Neodiprion lecontei: one gene and its partner. The protein of the gene in region 2 purifies or fractionates together with the protein of the main gene of each other region. This does not show direct contact. Links are inferred from orthologs where the notes say so. Each region holds a gene or a part of one and is shown on either strand. Other genes may lie near its edges. The genes, in order: general transcription and DNA repair factor IIH helicase subunit XPD and cyclin-H.

The links.
Region 1: the proteins of cyclin-H (region 2) and general transcription and DNA repair factor IIH helicase subunit XPD purify together in Homo sapiens (affinity purification with mass spectrometry; 3 studies listed by BioGRID and IntAct, counting the BioPlex papers as one, with this or other methods). This does not show direct contact. The link is inferred for Neodiprion lecontei from reciprocal best matches to the Homo sapiens genes CCNH and ERCC2.

What each region holds. Positions count from the first base shown.
Region 1 is NC_060266.1:18,324,959-18,335,115, forward strand, and holds the start of general transcription and DNA repair factor IIH helicase subunit XPD, read right to left. Parts: upstream 6,643-10,157; 5' UTR 6,512-6,642; coding exon 6,504-6,511; intron 5,093-6,503; exon of another isoform or gene 4,913-5,092; coding exon of another isoform or gene 4,908-4,912; intron 4,817-4,907; coding exon 4,717-4,816; intron 3,994-4,716; coding exon 3,739-3,993; intron 3,663-3,738; coding exon 3,429-3,662; intron 3,200-3,428; coding exon 3,076-3,199; intron 2,894-3,075; coding exon 2,797-2,893; intron 2,678-2,796; coding exon 2,544-2,677; intron 2,413-2,543; coding exon 1,883-2,412; intron 1,793-1,882; coding exon 1,617-1,792; intron 1,430-1,616; coding exon 1,150-1,429; intron 1,033-1,149; coding exon 922-1,032; intron 814-921; coding exon 715-813; intron 534-714; coding exon 399-533; 3' UTR 1-398. Other genes in the region: odorant receptor 83a-like, read left to right, coding at 8,574-8,795, 8,857-9,407, 9,484-9,583, 9,841-9,948, 10,076-10,157. UniProt on the Homo sapiens protein: ATP-dependent 5'-3' DNA helicase. Component of the general transcription and DNA repair factor IIH (TFIIH) core complex, not absolutely essential for minimal transcription in vitro.
Region 2 is NC_060263.1:34,017,561-34,025,886, reverse strand, and holds the start of cyclin-H, read left to right. Parts: upstream 1-2,590; 5' UTR 2,591-2,705; coding exon 2,706-2,822; intron 2,823-3,432; coding exon 3,433-3,657; intron 3,658-3,787; coding exon 3,788-3,961; intron 3,962-4,159; coding exon 4,160-4,385; intron 4,386-4,486; coding exon 4,487-4,598; intron 4,599-4,761; coding exon 4,762-4,903; 3' UTR 4,904-4,912; exon of another isoform or gene 4,913-7,563; intron 7,564-8,326. UniProt on the Homo sapiens protein: Regulates CDK7, the catalytic subunit of the CDK-activating kinase (CAK) enzymatic complex. CAK activates the cyclin-associated kinases CDK1, CDK2, CDK4 and CDK6 by threonine phosphorylation.

The DNA of each region.
Region 1 (10,157 bases), on a different chromosome or scaffold from region 2:
TCACTAAACCAAGAAAACGTAAATATTTTTCAACTCAATGTTCACAAGACAGTGGACCGATATTCATAACAAAATATGACTAAGGTATTTATAAAGATGAATAGAATTTGAATTATCCCCTAGCAATTATGATTTCAGTTCTTTTCGTTTTTTTCATTCATTTTTTTACCAAACAAGATTTAATGTTTTCTTAGTATACATGGTGTACAAGGAAAAAAACGAGAAACAATATACATAAATAAAGTCACCTTTCATAAGACATCTTTATCAACCAGTTATCGAATAGCGGTAAAATTGTGTCTGTCGGCTAATGTGAAATTGGTATTAGAATGTGTTCTAATCTTACCCGATATTCCTCTAACTCTATACTCTTAGACCTCTAAGAATGAGGCACCATTTTAATTTTGTTGTGCTTGTTTCTCAAATTTGCTGGCTTCTTCCTTTTCCAATTGTTCCCTAGTCAAAAGAGACAATCCGAGCTGATCTTCCCTCGTAAATGGCTGAGCCATTTGTCGCAACCACCTTTTGCTTATCTAGAAAAAATTTGTTGTGATACATACGGGTTTATTTTACTTTGTACGATCGATAAATTATTTTAATTAAGATGTCGAATTTAACGATGATTATTGATTATAATACGAAGATAACATCTTCAGGATTACATTTCATATCTATAGTATTTTCAGGAGATTATAATTGATGTCATTTCAGAACCTGTATTGCTTCTTCTGTTGATAAATTGCAAAGACTGTCTGTAAGGTGTTCTTGAATCCATTTGGGCAATTTGCTTCTTTTGTCCGCTCTTGAAAAACGCTGAAAAGTTTGTAAACCAAATCATTTTCAGTAACAACGTAGAAGCTATCATTTATCGACAGGAACTCCAATCTGTGATGAATTATAAAAAACTTTAAGGTACAGTACCTTGTCCGCGAACACCATGATACCATAGTCAGTTTTGCCTCTTATGGCTCGGCCAACGCACTGCGCGGCATGCCGCATTGCATCAAACGTTAAGAAATCATTTTCTCTTATCTGAAATTTAAAGAAAAATTGCACATTTTATGTCTTGATAGATTAGAAAAAACCTGACTGAAAATTTAATCCAAGGTATGTCATAACTTTTAAAATGACAAAACTTCTGATACTAACTTGAAATTGATCTCGTAGATATTCTAGTCTGGCTTTCAAGATCCGGGACTGAGTGTAAACATAAGGTATACCGAACATAAGAACAGCTCTTCCTAAATGGTGGTCAAAATCAACCCCCTCTGACACTTTGCCTCGAGCTACGGATAATAGAACAGCTCCACGTCCATTTTCGCATGCTTTTATGTAGTTCATCAAGGCCAAACTTGTTTCTGCAGAGTCTTGTGTCTCGATGAAGAGTAATTTGTGCCTCTGAAGTTGGTCTACTACTCCTTGATCATACCTAAAAAAAACATAACGATATTTTTTAATGATTGAATCATGTTTAGTCGAAATCCGGTCAGTTTTGTAATTAATTTATTTGGTTAAAAAACCACATGTTTCCGACGTTTCGGCCGGGCCGAAATATTTTTTAATCATAAATTCACACATGTGTTCAATTATTATGCTAGATTCTCTTCACTACCTACCATGCAGCAACTACAGATTCCATGTATGAATAAGAGGTGAAAAAACAGACTAAACCGTCTGGTACAGCTGCTGAGAATTCTACCAATAATTGTCCATAATTTCTTATCACGGCGACATCTTCTCTAGTTTCAAATTTAGATGATATCGCTACCTGGTCATTACCTTTGGCAACGATCTGAAAATTAATTGAACGATTGAACGGTCATCGTGAATGAAGTACTGCATTGTTTTTTTAACTGTAAAATATGCAAAGACGAAATCTCACCATTGGTAACAAACAAGGTCTTGCAAGAGTCATGGTAAACGACGACATGATTACAGGATGAAAATCTAAGATCTTTGGATACATGTCTAAGGGCGAAAGTGTTCCCGAGGTGATAATGACTGACTGAAATCTGTCAAATATTGGTTTCATAGCAATAGAACAATCGAGACAGCTAAAATGTAGAATTGGGTTTAGAACCGTTGGTGTTTTATCATCGAATGGTTCGACTATGATAGTGAAACCTTTTGTGTACGTGGAAACAAGAGTGGCAAGGTGCGTGACCAAAATCAGAGGCGAAAAATCTGTAACATCACTAATTTCCATCGTTCGTAAAAGCGATGCCAATCTCTCCGCGCAAAACTTCAGGGGTTTTCTTTCTATGCAAACTTTAGACTGGATGTCGCGTAGAAATCCAGCTGGCGATTCCTGCATTACATGCTGCACTCGAAGCCTTGTTTTTAGGTATTCTACAAACCGCTTCAAGAATCCAACAAAGTGTTCGGCATTTCTTATGTTGCCAGGAACAACCTCTGGAAAAAAGATACATGCATTTTTTAATCAGCGCTATATCTCACCGTAAGTAAAGCAAAGAAAATATAACCATTTCACAACATTTTCATTGATTTATCGGATGAAAGTTACTCATGTAAGTTAGACTTACCTTGAAGTACTTCATCTGGCAAAATTGGGTTGGACAAAATAATGTCAGTTTCTCTTGCCGTTTGCGCACCTTTGAGGCCTTCAACTAATCTACTGTATTCCTCTTTTAATTTATTCACGTCGTCTTCTCTCATCCTGAAAATCATAAATGAACGAATAACAAAGAGCAATGTCGGTTTTTATGAACTAGAAAATTTGTGTGAAACTTGGAACTTAATATCTATATAAACTAATTGTGATTTGGTTTAACTTACTCAGCCACAGTTTTCTCCAAAATTTGTATATTTGCCGTGCTTTTTTCAACTATTCTTTTGTTTATTTTGACGCTCATTGAGTCTATGCATACGTTGTCTGAAAATAATGTCGAAAATCTTCTGTTAAGTACAATGGATGTGGCCACACTTTTGGCTCCCCAATATCATTAACAATACGATGTAGTTTGTATATCCATTTGTTTCATGTGTTCAATTTATGCCCATGTATGCTGTATGCACGTATGTTCTTAAAAGTTTGATTAAATAGAAAATTATTACCGATGTTGTGTGCCTCGTCAAAAACTACAACAGATGTTTTACTCAATTCTTTAGATACAGTTTCAGCAATTTTTGGATCGAGAAGATAGTGGTAACTGTATACAACGATGTGAGCTTGCAGTATCTGAAAGATAAAAGAAAAGTTTTCAAATCTGTAACTGGACCACATGATTCAAACAGTTCCAGTCCTATGTAAAACAAAATATACATTGTTCAAGTCAAGAAATAAGAAGAGAGAAGTGGTGACAATAATATGACAACAAAAATTTTGTTTTCAAAAGAACGAGTAAAGAAACAGGTTTATAAATTAATAAATTAATTGATCAATGAACTTAAATAATTAACAGACCAACCGTAAATCTAGCCAAAAAATATGGACACCAATTCCTGTCTCTTCCATACTCTTTCAGGTCATCCAGGGAATAAATTCCAGCAGGCACAATCTGTTCACGTCCCTCTAAATCGAATCCCTCATAAAAGCTGCAAACTGGCGTTGATTCATCGTAATTATGCCTTTCTCTTATATACGAGGCAGTGAGGGAATGACATCGACCGTCAACAATTTTTCCTTCACGTTCCCTGCTTATCTGAAAAATATAATCATCTTATCAATCAGCTGATTCTTTGTTATTAGAAAATGAATGAATAATATACTCAACGAACTTCTGGATGTATGCACATGTTTTTCCTAGAGCTCAGCACCAATCCAACAAGTTTTGGCTTTACTCCATCCTCTTTTTCATAGTATTCTATAAGATTTTTTAATTCTTCTATGACTTTCTCTATCTCCGGTACTGTACGTGAGCAGTATATTAATTTAGTTATCTTCAAGGGGTTTTGCAGCATGTAAGCCACAATCAGTGACAGTAATGTCACAGTTTTTCCAGTACCCGAAGGCATTTCCAAGAGGCAATGACCCTGTAGAATATATATTCATTATATTAGAGACGCCTTAACTGATTTGATAATTTTTAATAATTTACTTTCCTATGCTTGTTGATACGTGTAATTATTTTTCAAATGATGGTATTAAAAATTATTAATCATTGAATTCTTTGAGGAGGATTAGCCTATTTCATGAAAGTAGCACTGAAAGACCAACAAAGTTTCTGTTAATTAATGTGTCTCAACTACAAAGAATTATTCTTAAACCTTCATGAAATTGACAAAGCTTGATTGCGAGTTATTAAACACAAAGGAATAAATTTATAGCTTGTTGTATGGCATTTAAAAAAAGCTCTTCCTGCATGAGAGCATGAGCAATATTTAGAAGTTTCCTCACTTAAAAACAAGCATTCTACTGTTTTTCCAAATAATTACAATGATTTTATTATTCATATGCATGGAAAGTAAGACATTGAAAACTTTTTAACTTAAAGAATGTTTACTCATCAGTTGGAGGAATCAATCTCTTGGCAAATCATTGAATCAGTTTTCCTTCAAAGTGTTTAAATTACATGAATAAACATATTTTGAAGGATCAAATCTTCGCAAGCTTCAGAGAAATAATAAAATAATGTATATTTATATCGTAAGATAAATTGTGAAGTTTGGAAACGCAGTTTGGAGGTTAAGAAGGCGAATTTGTAAGCTGCTTATTAATATGGGGTGTGATATCTCGTTATTAAAGGCAAGATTTACCCTAGCATCGAGACCTCGCTTGAGTTCCAACATGTACGCATACTGTTCCGGGTAAATGTAATCGTAGGGGAAGTACACAATCAATCCGTCGACACTGATTCTGTAAGAAGAAGATGCCAAGTTTATTTCATAATACGGAATACTTTCTCGTTGCTTATTGTTTGATAACGAAATTACACCCAGATAATTACTTCATTTTTGTTGTTTACGAATTTCTTTCTGCCACATTTATAACAAATCTACTTCACTGGTTCTTATTGTTTATAGCCTCCAAAGTTCACGTTTACGATGCTTACATGCGTCAGGTTGCCGACCGCTCGTGCGAATCCAGGGTATCAGGATTAGATTAGGTTAGTTTTTTTTCTGAATGTGACAGTTAAGTTAGGTGAGGTATTAAGGTGAACTTTCATGAGTAGCAAAAACCAGCAGCAGTTTAGTAACTTACTAGATGTTACTAACATCTGTCTAGGGTGTATTCCGCAAGGAAACTGTGGCAGTCCAGTAATAGTATATTTTGAATTTTCTAACTAGCGGTTGGTACTATTTACTGGTCATTTACTGCCAAAGTGTGCCACAGTTCCCTGGCGGAATACACCCCTAGTAATTTAACGTCGCAGCTGCACTGCTTATAAAGGCCGTGTTCGTAAATTGACTGACAGTACTGAAAATTCCCTAGGACAGAGTCAGAGCTATCCATGAACTTGGAAGCGCAAAAGAGATGAAAGATTGCTGACAGTACTGTCAGTCAATTTTCGAACACGGCCAAAAACATCTTGCGTTTGCTGCTCTGCTGGTCGGATGAATGAACTTCAATTTCTAACATTAGCGTATGTATGTACATACATAGCCACTTATATGGGTATTACCATACGTGATATGGCGAATCTCTGGAAGCTAGTCTGCACCAAAGAATCTTGACTACATGAAATTAGATTAGTGCATCAAATTGATTTCTATAGAGAAGTTTAGTCGAAATCGTATCGAAAAATTACATGCAAAGACTGTATTACAAATGCAGATGACAACATCACTACTATAACTGTTGCTTCAGTAAAATAGTATGATTGTGTGATATTTGAAAACCTTAGATAGAATTTTTGAAATACTGAGAACACTGTTGAAAATGAAGATGGAATGGGTACCCATGTTTTGTAAAAATTATTGGTAACAAAAACATTTGCAGAACTTCAGATTCGTACATTGGAAAATACTTTCGAATATTTAACTAGTTATTTCTAACCCGCGTTTGTGATATTTTGCTAGATGTGACAGACTTTGAAATTGAATTGTAATACGATACGTTTCGTTTCGCGTTCGTTGTATTTCGAAATTGTGCATTATACGTTGATGTAAATGTCAGCTTCCGCTAGGTTAAAATGCCCGTAGAATGGACAGAGGCGCGAGTTTACAAACTAGTTTTATCGTACATTCGGCACGAATGCCTGTGGAAACACGATAGTGATTCGTATAATGATTTGGAGGCACGGTACACCGCATACCTGGGGATAATTCGAGACCTGAACATTCGCGATCTGACCGTGAACGAGGTTCGCGACAGAATAAAGCAAATAAAGCGAATCTATCGCATGGAATTGGTAAAGATCAACGATGCTAACTTCCGGGGATTCCCCTACAAGCCAAAAATCACTTGGTTTGAATTGATCCACGAATTTTTACGCGCTTATATCACAGAACAGGATTCTAACGCCGTTAGTTTATTACCAGGATTAAAGTTCAATTACTGAAAAAAATTATTCCTATGTATATAACTATTCTGATCAAATTACCTTCGCATGTCTAGGATAGCTCGCTACATGTTGAGGCGAATAATGGTGAGCCAGAAGAATTCAACCATCACACCTCCCAGTCGTTGTTATATTCGCAACGTTGCTGTCCAATAAACCAGTGTCCCAGCTGTGTTAGACATTTTCCAACTCAACTCAATCTCGACATATCCCCAACAAAGTTGACGAAAAATGCTGTACCTTTAAAACAGAAAATTAATCTTGCCTCGCAACATGACTTTATCAGGCAGCAAACACCTAGAGCTTTGCAATCCATTCCGAATATCAGTTCATTTTCAACCTCTGGCGATTGTTCAATAATCAGAGCTTCGAACGCAGAAGTAAAGTCACAAGTCATAACCAATTCGATCAAGAAACACAAGTCGCAAAAAAAGTATGGCGATGAATTTGATGCTTTTGGTAAGAAAATCTTATAATTTGAAATGTTTAAAAGACTCTCTTGCAAAATACTAACGTTTTTTTGTACATTCTCCATGGGCTAATTGTCATATTTATACTTGCTAGGCAAAAGTGTCGCATGCCAATTGCGCGAACTGTCATTGCCACATGCGCTTCGAACTCAAACAAACATTCAGAGTCTGCTTGCTGAGGAGAGGATAAATTCTAACAAGGAGAAAGTGATTAATAACCAAAGTGCAGAGGAAGTCTCTCAACATCACAGGCACTACAGGGATTCTCGGTGGACGCAACCTTCGAGGAATAGTCGTTCGTCATTCATCTGCAATGCAAATTTCCAATGTCCATCAGCTAGTGATTTGAGCTCTTCTGGTCACCTGAGTAATGGAAGACGCACGAAACTTGTTGAAAGAAATCAGATAGTGAATTGTCATCCGGATAATTGTATTGCCTCTAAAATTTCATATAAAAAAGCTAGTCTAAAAACTTAGTAGGAATTTAACATCTGTAGCACAATTATAAATTTCTTACATAAGCATTCACATCGTCAAAACAAGGCAAAGTGACGCGTTTAAAGTCTACGAAAAGTTTCTATTCCAAGGAAATCTGGAGTTAGTGTGTTAAAATGTTTGATGATTCATTCACGTTTGCTAAACATATTTTTTATAGTATGGTTACTTCTAATTTTGGTGTTCCTAAGTACATGTTTTTCATCTTAGTAGCAGTCTGATAAAAAATAATTTTGTATGTAATGTATTTTTTACATGAAGTTATGGATATCTTTTTGTAAAACGATTATGTCAATATACATCAATTTCTTTTATAACATAATAATAATAATCACGTTCAGTCCCGCCATATGTGTGTATGTACTCATAATCGGACAGCTTATACAGGGTGAGACAGGCATCGGTTAGTGACCATTATTATGTGTCTGCTGTCATTTTAAGATGTTTATTAGAAACATCCGCATTCACACAGAGGATAAGGAAAACTGTGAAAAACCTTCCCCAAGTGTGGCCATGCCGAGTTCAAATCTCAGCTTGTCAATTCAGCACCTGTTCGACATGATTCATCTGACCCATCATTTGAACTCAAGACCTCCCATTCTGTAGTTTCGCATACTATGTGCAATGCTCCGACGTTTGATTTTACTCTATTGAGAAAATCAATTTTTCCTCAATTGAATAAAACAATTTTTACTGTAAAAGTATTAGATTGGTAAAGGAGATAATTGTTTCCATCTCTGCCTAGTGGGAATCCCAACTTCATATCACCGAGCTGTTACGGAAATAATAGTTCTTTCACTTGTAAGATAGTCATGAATACGCAGGTGACATGAAATAACAGGTATAAAAGCTTTAGAATTCAACTACATCCTCTATAATTCAGGATGACCGAAGGCCAGTAATAATAGGTCTTTCCTCCTGACTTGCAACAACAGCAATTTTCTCAGTCAACCCTCACACTGTATGATTTCGTCTTGCATTTTTCATCCAGCCATCACCTGGCATGTCCAGAAGACGCAATCTGAGAAACAGTTCAAGCTGTCTCAAATATATTGGAAGTTTTGAGAAAACTCATGGTCAGTTCTCCGTTTTCCATTTCGAACTCTTTCCATTCTCCTCAGTCAATTCGTTAATTTCATTAAGAATTATGATCAAGCTTGAAACTTCTCTGTGGTACATAAGTATTTTTTTAAGAGGATTGTCGTTTTGGCCGCTATCCTCGGAAGCTTCAGTTGTCACAAAAACGATAAGCCTCGCTCACTTTATGCTAATCTTTTTTGCTGCTACTTTAATGTTTTTCCAAATTTTGGTGTATGTTTATCAGAATTCAATAAGTTCGCAGTTTATCGCCGAGCATGTCAGTACACAGGTAACGTATCGAATCACTCATTGTAAGATATACCACATTTACAAGTTCATCTTTTCTGCAGCTCGCATTTCTACAATTAACGATCAAGGTGGTAATGTACAGAATTCATAAAGAGAAATTATGCAAACTCTTGATGGATGTAAATCATATGATAAAGAACGGTTCTCCATGCCTGAGAAAACATCTTGAGGGATACGCGAGTACTTGTAACCTCGTTTATTTTACATACACAACCACAATATTCCTACTGGCTACAGATTATTGTCTGGTACCATTCTTTAAGGCTGACAAAGATCTGCCAATAACAGCATGGTATCCTTTCGATTACAAACAGTCAACCCTTCATTATAGTATTGCTTATTTGCATCAACTGTGCGTCATTGTCATGTCTTGGCTTTGCTCCGGAGTTGATGTGACCTTTGGTCTCCTTGTATTTTGTTGCTGTGCACGATACAAAGTCATGCAAGATATACTAAAAAGTTTGAAGCAGCCAGATATGGAGTCGATGAAATATGAAGAAAATCATGGAAAAAATGAATCTAATGATGAACTTATTGTGGCGTACAGCAAAAAAATTAAAAAATTAGTGGACCTGCATTGTCAAGTTTTCAAGTGAGTGGAACTTTGTGTAATTCGTATTACCTTTTCATGATTATTTCAAAACATTATACAAGTATTTTCTTCATAGTTCAATACGTGATATAAATGATATACATACATGGATATTACTTGTACTATTTCTTACGTCTGTGATAATGATATGTTGTGCTGGATTACAAATTACAAACGTAAGTTTTTTCAAGGAGCCTTGGAGTACATATATTATTAAATTATATTATATTGCGTTGTATTGCTTGTAATATCATGTCAACCATACGGCTCTAGAGTTTATAACACAAGAAGTCGCCTTATCTGCTTTTTGACATAGATTTCAAGTCAAAATTGTCAACAGTTTCGTTACAGAATATGAATAAGTATATCAGTCCAATATGGACATGAACACTTGCCCATGATTGACATACTCTTTGTTTGTTCTCTCACAAAGGTAGCTGAACAATCACTCAATTCCAAATTTGTATTCTCTTGTCTGGTATGCTGTGTTTTATTGGAATTACTCTTTTACTTTGTGCCAGGTGACATCCTCGTCACAGAGGTGAGCATCATCAAATCGTTAGATACATTACACTCAAATATGCTTAATTTTGCATACTAAATCAGATATTACTTCTTCTGTACTTCTTATACTTGTGATCATAAGTAAACATTCGATATATCCTTAGGCAAATGCTTTAGGGTTGGCAGCCTATTGTAGTTCTTGGGAGTCAATGCCACCCAACCATCGAAATTCTATCCTGTCAATTA
Region 2 (8,326 bases):
CCTTGTAAACTTAAGACAAACGCATAGTAATTTACGTTACTGCACCGAATTTGTAAATTTGTTGTCTAATTTCGTAAATTGACAATTCTTTTGTACAGTAAATGTCTAGTAAATTCACAATAATTTTCAACGGTATCTGACACATATCCCGTATTTTGTCGCATCGAATGAAATTTTGCACAGTAAATGTAAATCATAATTACATTTGAGCATCGTGATTCCGAGAAACATGCAAGTTTTCAAGAAAAACTTGCTACCTGGAAAGTAATTTCTGCAGAACCGTTTCAAAGGCCATCGAAGAGGGCGTTGTGCCTGTGTCTAGGACTATCGATCGAGCACTAGAATTGAACTTCTTTGGCAGAAGCACCGTCATTAGCTTCCATCAGGGAAAGAATAATTCCAATCGTGGCCAAGGTGCACGCCAAAGGTGCATCAGTTGGATTTAGCGTGAGGCGCCGCAGCCGTTGATTGTTAAGCCGGCGTCGGCCGAGGCGGAGTTTCTGACTTGCCGTCGGTAATGCTTTCGAATCTCGAGCTACACCGTTAACAGCTAACCACTATAAAACTGAGCTCGATCATTTTTCTTTCTTGGAATCTCCCGAGTCGAAGAAACGCTTCAAATAATTCATAATTTATACAGTATCGAGTATGATTTTTATTACGTTGAAGCTCTGCGACGTTGTCGATTTGACCGTGAGAAAATTACAGAATTCGACCGATATATAATATGTCGCGATATTGCTGCAGTCAGCCTCTAATGTCTAATGTTAGACTTCACGCACAGCCTGACGGACCATTCGACATCCTTGCAACTATTACACGTGGGCATTTACGAGTTTAAAGCAGCAGGTAAACTCCGACGAGTAAAAGGTCTGTATCCGACAATCAGATTGAGATTCGTTCGGCTGCGATAAGATCACAACAACCGTGACTAACGAAAGGTGCCAAGACCGCCTTCCGCAGAAGAGCGTTTTGAGATTGGCGATTCGCGATTTGGGAATGGGAGGCGTGCATATGGATTGAAATTTACTTTGCAAAACTCGGCTCGTTACGCGAATGAATTTTTATTATTCCCCCGGAAGTCGGATGACCCCGATGAGTTCTTGAAGGTTTCCCCAACTGTCGATACTAATTAAGACGGGGTTGGGATGTAACACCTGCCGACAGGGTCAAATGTGATACAAACACAATTCGAGCTTACAACCAGTAATCAAGCGGTGACTTGCAATTCATAATCGCTTTAGTCGATTATACGACATGATATCAGCCGCCGTAAATTCGTCAGTCATACTTTCATAAAAAGAAAAGGTCAACGAGGTCAATTATTGCGAGACGAACAAGTAGCATTTAATATCAAACATGAATATTATTTATGCAATACCGCGAAAAGATAAATCGCAATTTGAACACTCTTCTTAAGACTCTCATCGTGAGTATAGTCGTTAATTACACATCGAGTCGTTTTTAGTACATAATAGAAGTCATATTCGTTAATTAAGACGATAGTGACGACTTTGCTCAAAATTGCAGACAATAGGCAACGCAACGTATAGCGATTGTTTACCCGAAAACAGCCTTCGACTTATAACATGGGACATTTAATGCGACATATTAAAAACTGCTTTATTACAACTTTTGCTCGATGAATTAGGCCTAATTTATATACCATGACATCCACCTGCGGGATAATTCAGCTCATTTCGAGAACTTGAAATCCAACAACGCGCGAAATATATCGTTCTACCAACGGAATATTAATTATACTCTACATGTATGAAGTATCGCATAACGATATCAGTGTTCATGATTGTGATTAATTTATTCCCGTAATATTCCCTAACTTCTCGATATACTCGGAATCCAAGGATTTTTATAACCGACTGCACTGCAGAGTAGCGAGCTCTATCCGTAGCTTCGTGAAGTCTTTGAAGCAACACCAATTGACCAGCTTTATATGAAACACCTGCAGGAACGCTACTATACCGATACAAATTAAACACTTTGTGTCATTTGTATAAGCTATTGGAGATTTCCCTGAACATTAATATCAAAAAGATGATAAGTTTCTTCCATCGAAATTTAAATGTTCCTGTACCGATTCATGATTTGTTCGCACATTTTCTTTGCTCAACCCAATAAGTAGTTTCAATTCGATCGGTGGTGTATTAAAGGTTTTCTTTCATATAGCTATCCATTCGCTATTTTTTAAACTATTTAGTTTTATTCAGGCGATAGTAATTTCATTTGTAACTTTATTCGCATGTATTATAAAGTTTTAATAATAAGAAAATTTCAAATCCTCCCGCGCCTCCGCAGCGTTATCTAGTACAGAAATACATTGGCTGAAGTATATTCTTTCAATATAAAACAATATATATTTCAGATATACAACGCATATGCGTTGACTGAAGACTATCAGTCAACGGCATATGCCAAACCTGGCAGCGTGATGACAGTACCCGGCGTATTCAAGTTTACCGCCAAGCCCCAGCGGCCATTGCTGATTGCTGAAACCACGAAGTAGCTGAAACTGACCAGTGAGCAGGAGTCTCATTTGACGCCATTGCTCAGTGAGCACTAGTGAGCAGCGCAACAGGAAGCGGTAGGAAGGCATTGGAGGACAAAGACGTTCGTCGCAGGGTATCTGATTAGGGAGTCTTTTACGGTGCGATTCAGCTGCTCACGCGATATTAAATATATTGAAAATGTTTCCAATGAGCTCTCAAAAGATGTACTGGATATTCAGTGATGAAAATGACATCACGGAACTTCGCGAGAAGACTAACTCGGAATTCATCGAGAAGCATGGCGTGAACGTGCCGGTGAGTGTTTATTCCAGTTTATTCTATCTCCCAATCGATATATCTATAGCTATAACCCAAAAAGCGTGTTTTGTCAATTCGAAAGAAATTACTCGACAAAAGCCAGTTCATACAAAGTTATGGATAATTATATCAGCTTCGAACAGCGTGCGTTTTAACATTTGATTCACCAATCGAAAATATTCCATCTTTCGCAAGCAAATCTCCGTACTCTCTAATCGTCTTTTATTTTGACATACGTATCAATTACGTGATGAACATTCCGCGCGATTGCAAAGCAATTACGGTGTTACCCGGTGGATAAATTTATTTGAGAATTTTAATTATACACAACGTGTACTGGAGAACACGCTATTTTGAATCTTTGATCGTACATAAATGCTCACGCAGTTTGTTGATTAAATACCTATAAACTTGGGGACGCCAAATAATGGCGGTAAAAATGTCTTCACCGTTTGTGGGAAGAAGACTGATATTTATACGGACATAAAAATTCTTGCCTAATATTCGATCGGCATGCTCTGTGTAAATGTTGTCCCATACATTTGCGTTTCCGTCAAGGAGTAATACTTTGTCTTTGAAAAATGGTTCGTTCTTTCCACTCGTACAGCGCGATCAAAGAGAGGAGCATTTCCTAACGACTTCGGAAGAACGGATATTACTCAAATTCTATGAATTACAACTCCGAGACTTCTGTCGCAGATTTGTTCCGCCCATGCCAAGACCTACCGTAGCAACTGCGCTTCACTACTTCAAGAGGTTCTATTTAAGGAACAGCGTTATGGATTACCATCCTAAGGAAATCCTTGTCACGTGCGTCTACCTTGGCTGCAAGGCAAGTATTTGTAATATGAATACAATTTAACATACTTGCAGAGATGACTTGCAATTAACTTTTTTTTATTGCGATGAACAAAACTTCAACTGTTTCCAGATTTTATTATTTTTTCAATTCTCTTTCTTAGGTAGAAGAATTCAATGTCTCAATATCCCAGTTCGTAGCGAATATCAAAGGAGACAGAGAAAAGGCATCAGACATCATTTTAAACAACGAATTGTTACTCATGCAGCAGCTCAACTATAACCTGACTGTCCATAATCCTTTCAGGCCTGTAGAGGGCTTGATGATCGATATAAAGGTGAGTGTAGCTTACGAAGGGAATCTACTTATTTTCCAAGCTGCAGAATCATTGGCTGAAATTTTTATCTCTTATTTTGTAAATTTCTCTTGACAATTCAGTTTTAACTTAAGCCCTTATTTCTGCTATTCATGGTTCACTCATCAAGATCATATCGAGCCTTTTGTAATTTTCTATTAATTTTTCCTGTGTTTTTAGACCAGATGCACATCACTTGAAAATCCAGAGAAGCTCAGACCGCATATCGACGATTTTCTTGAAAGAGTGTTTCTCACAGATAGTATTCTGATTTACGCTCCGAGTCAAATTGCTTTGGCTGCCACCTTGCACGCAGCGTCGAGAGCTGCTGCTAATCTAGACAATTACGTAACAGACACACTGTTCTCGAGGGAACATTTGCCAGGAATCATCGAGGCTGTTAGAAGTAAGTCGATCATAATCGTTTTTGGGGATGTTTCATCATCTTCGTCATTTTTCTTCTGACACATTATCACCGATTGTAACTATGTCATATTAAATTTTCAGAAATAAGATCAATGGCCAAGTGTGTTGAGCCTCCAACAAGAGAAGTGGTCCGGTCTCTCGAGAAGAAACTGGACAAGTGCCGAAATCAAGCGAATAATCCAGACAGTGAAATGTAAGCCTTGCATTCACGAATTTTTGCCAAACATTTTTTCCGCACGTAAGGCTGGTCTTCAAATTCAAGTACCAAATGCCAGTTCGAAACATCTAATTGTGCTACTTAAGTTATTACATTTTACTTCTTCACTTAACTGTGTACCTTTACTTAACTTTTTCAGTTACAAACAAAGAATGCAGGACATGCTGGACGAGGATGATTTACGGGATAATGAAAAATACGCAAAAATCATTCAAGACCAAGCAGAGCATGACGAGAAAGTATTGGGCGTGAGTAAATCTCTATCTCCATCGGCGTTGTAGCATCGAAAGGTTTGCCACTAAATTTCTCAAAAGACTTCAACTTACGAAAATAAGTAATCTTTAAGCACAGGGCGTAGAGGACTGTGTGATATTTCACACTTATCATCGTTTCATATTCAGTCAGTTGCACTAGCATATCTTGCTTCTTTTGTGCTACATCTTGTTTTCATTTCTTTGAAATTACGAAAAGTGATCTACAAAATTTGAGTATTCACTGCAAATCCTGATTGAACCCATATGATTCAATTGTATTCGACAGTGTCACTCATAATGTTCAAGACAACAGTTTAACATTTTCCACCCCATGTTTTAATCATTTTGGGTGTCTAGCGACATGATAAAGTTGATAATTCTCTAAAACTTGTAAAATGAATCTAGTTTCTTGAATTTTGTACTATTAACTTTCTTTTACAACTAGACTCTGAAGGTAAAATTCTGCTATATAAATAAAAACTAGCGAAGCTCTCAATAAAGTCTATATTTCATAACATATACAATACTTAAAAGCAATGAACACCACTTTATTTTTGTAGATGAAAATAGTGTTTTTGAAAATTGAAATCCTTGAAGAATTATAAACTGTATCACAACTGGATATCCCCTTAATTTCAATTTTGAAGTAGACTCAGGCAGCAATAAAACTTTATTCCTAACTTAACCGTAATGGCCACTTTATTGACCTGCAAAGGCCGACAAAAGTAGCTTATCATTCCCTCTTGTACTTTTCTCCGCAAATTTTTTTTTTTTTTTGTTCCCTTGTTTTTCCCTTAAATGCGGTTTCAACTTTTAAAGTCAATAAAGTTGCGACAGTCAAGTCCGGAATAAAGTCCTATATGCAATACGGCTATAAAGACTATTATTTCTTTATCACATAATGTGCTATTAAAGACAGTAAAATAAAAAAAACTAGAAACAAAATAGAATAATTGTTTCTCAGTTACTGTCAAAAATTGTGCATCTCTAACGACTACAATCTCGGGGCGTAGTACATAGGTATTCATTTTGTAATTATAAGCTTCCAATATCTCCAGTACCTTATAAAATATGTTCGTACCCAAAGCAATGATTTTTCACTAAATCGTAAACTAATGTAAATCAGCTGGCCGAAACGCGTGTATGGGGCATTCCACGTCAAGTCAGCCACCTCCAGGCCTCACTACCTTTGATTTCATTCTTCTAGGATTTTGTTATACCATGCGAAAGTGGTGTCTCTGATTTATTTAAAAATTTTCGGAGCCTCCGTTCCGGAGTTCTTGCAAGCCTAAATTTTACGATATTCAAAAATTTACGAACTTTTAATCGATGATACCTCCAAATTGAACAATCGTATCAAAAACAGTAAGGTGGTGTTTCGATTCGTCTTGAATTCAAGTGTTTGAAAAAAAAATGTTTTGCAGATATTTTCCGCGACGTTTAAGCTGTCGTAACTGATGTTCAAATAAAAAAATCAAAATTCCATCAAGTATATTATTTTTGAAAATTTTGAAACATTTTTTTTTCGGTTGACGAAGTTGACGTGGAATGCCCCATATACAAACTAATGGATAACAAATATGCGAATTATTCGGAGTACCTTAGGTAGAGGAAAACAATGTTCAATTTACGTTGTCCTAATGAATCAGTTAATTGGAATCTGAGTATCCGGTGCAATCGGCGTACAAAACTATTTACTTGATTGCTTTATCTGCTTGAAGATTTCTCAAATAACACTGTAAAATTTAACGCTACGCTACAACACCCGTGTTTTGCTTATCATCCAATTACTACATTTTTATTTCAAATGTGTAATCAACACCTGAAGTTTCCAATTTAGAAAATCGAAACCTAAGTCCACCGTGGCTTTTGGTACTGAAACAGCCACAAAGATTACATAACCACGTATCTCCTTAGTTCGCAGTTGAAATGATAGGGTGGCGACAGACTGGGAAACCCGGGAATAGTCAGGGAATTTCGTATATTGGAAAAAGACCGGGAAAAATCAAAGAATTATGATGGACTATAAAGAAAAACGTACTTTTTCTATAAATCGTTTTCAAACTTCAGCTGAGCTTCGTAAATTCAGTTAAGCTAACCGTCTAAAATGGTATCGTTCAATTTCTAAGTATTTGTGTGAAACTAAGCAATACTATGTGCTTTTTAGATCCAAATTTATATATTCAAGGTGCGGAACTTCTGGAGCTTTTCGTCATAAAAGCTGCTCCACATTACCTATGTTTTGTGGAAAAACGTTAGAGAATTCTGCATTTTTTAACCCTAGACGGGGCAACCTAATTTTTATACTTTCTACGGGGTAACTGGGGCATCGGAGTACCCCAAGCGTTTCCAAACAATACAAGCCTTTCTAGTTCCAATAAGATAGGTTTATTATGCATCATTTTCGTCGTTTTTTAATCAGAAACACGAAGGTATATATTAAAATCCCTTTCCTTTGAGATGAAAACGAGAAGAACTTGTTTAAAGCAAAAAAAAAAAAGGGCGGTGAAGAGCTAAAAATGACTTTTTTCAGTCAAAATAGTCTCATTCTTTTTCTAATTAACCGATTTCCAAAACTCCAACGGGATTTGAAAGGGAGTACACTGAGCCTTGAGATGAAATGGTGTATCGATTCATTTTTTTCAAAAAGTATAATTATTTATTTATCCGAAAACTGAAAATAACAAAAAGCCGTAAATGGGTGAAGTCAATGAAAAATTACATATTGCATCTTTTTTTCAACTTTGAATGAATTTTTTATTCAACAAATAATTTTTATAAATATAGAAAATAACCATCGAGGCTTAATGGTATACCGATCGGTTTATAGTGGCACAAATTTCACAAAAGATTGAACTGTGCTCGTCACAGACAGGTCGGTTACAGTTTTCGTAGAAAGTTTTTACTTTTCGGTCGGCTGGTCGTGGACAAATGGCACGTCTTACTTTTTATCCAGCCCGAGGTTTATCATTTCCATCCCCCTCTGAGTCCGAATCGTACATCATTTCTACATAATCTTCCTCTTCGTCATCTTCCGACAGCATATCAACAGCCAACTCTGTTTTTTCCGAAAGCGCCTCACTGGCCGATTTAGTCCTTGGTGTGAACACTGAATCTTTTAGGGAAGTTTTTGGAGTTTTATAGGCTTTGAAAAAATCTGAAAAAATTCTGGGTTAGGTACTTCTTGAAGTGTCTACTACATGGCCCAGAAGTTGTTTAACCCTAGGACCCTAGACTATCTGTATGAAACAAATACTCTACATACGGGTTACGCGCACCCCAGAACTTGAAGTCACCGTTGCTAGAGGACTGTTTGTCGTAGAGAGTTTTTTTCTTTTCCAATTGAACGCTGAAAGACTGAATAATGGAATAGGATATGCGACAAAAACCTATTATGACATTTTCGTCTTAAAAAATGCGATTGAATAAAGTAAGAAAAATGATTTCAGC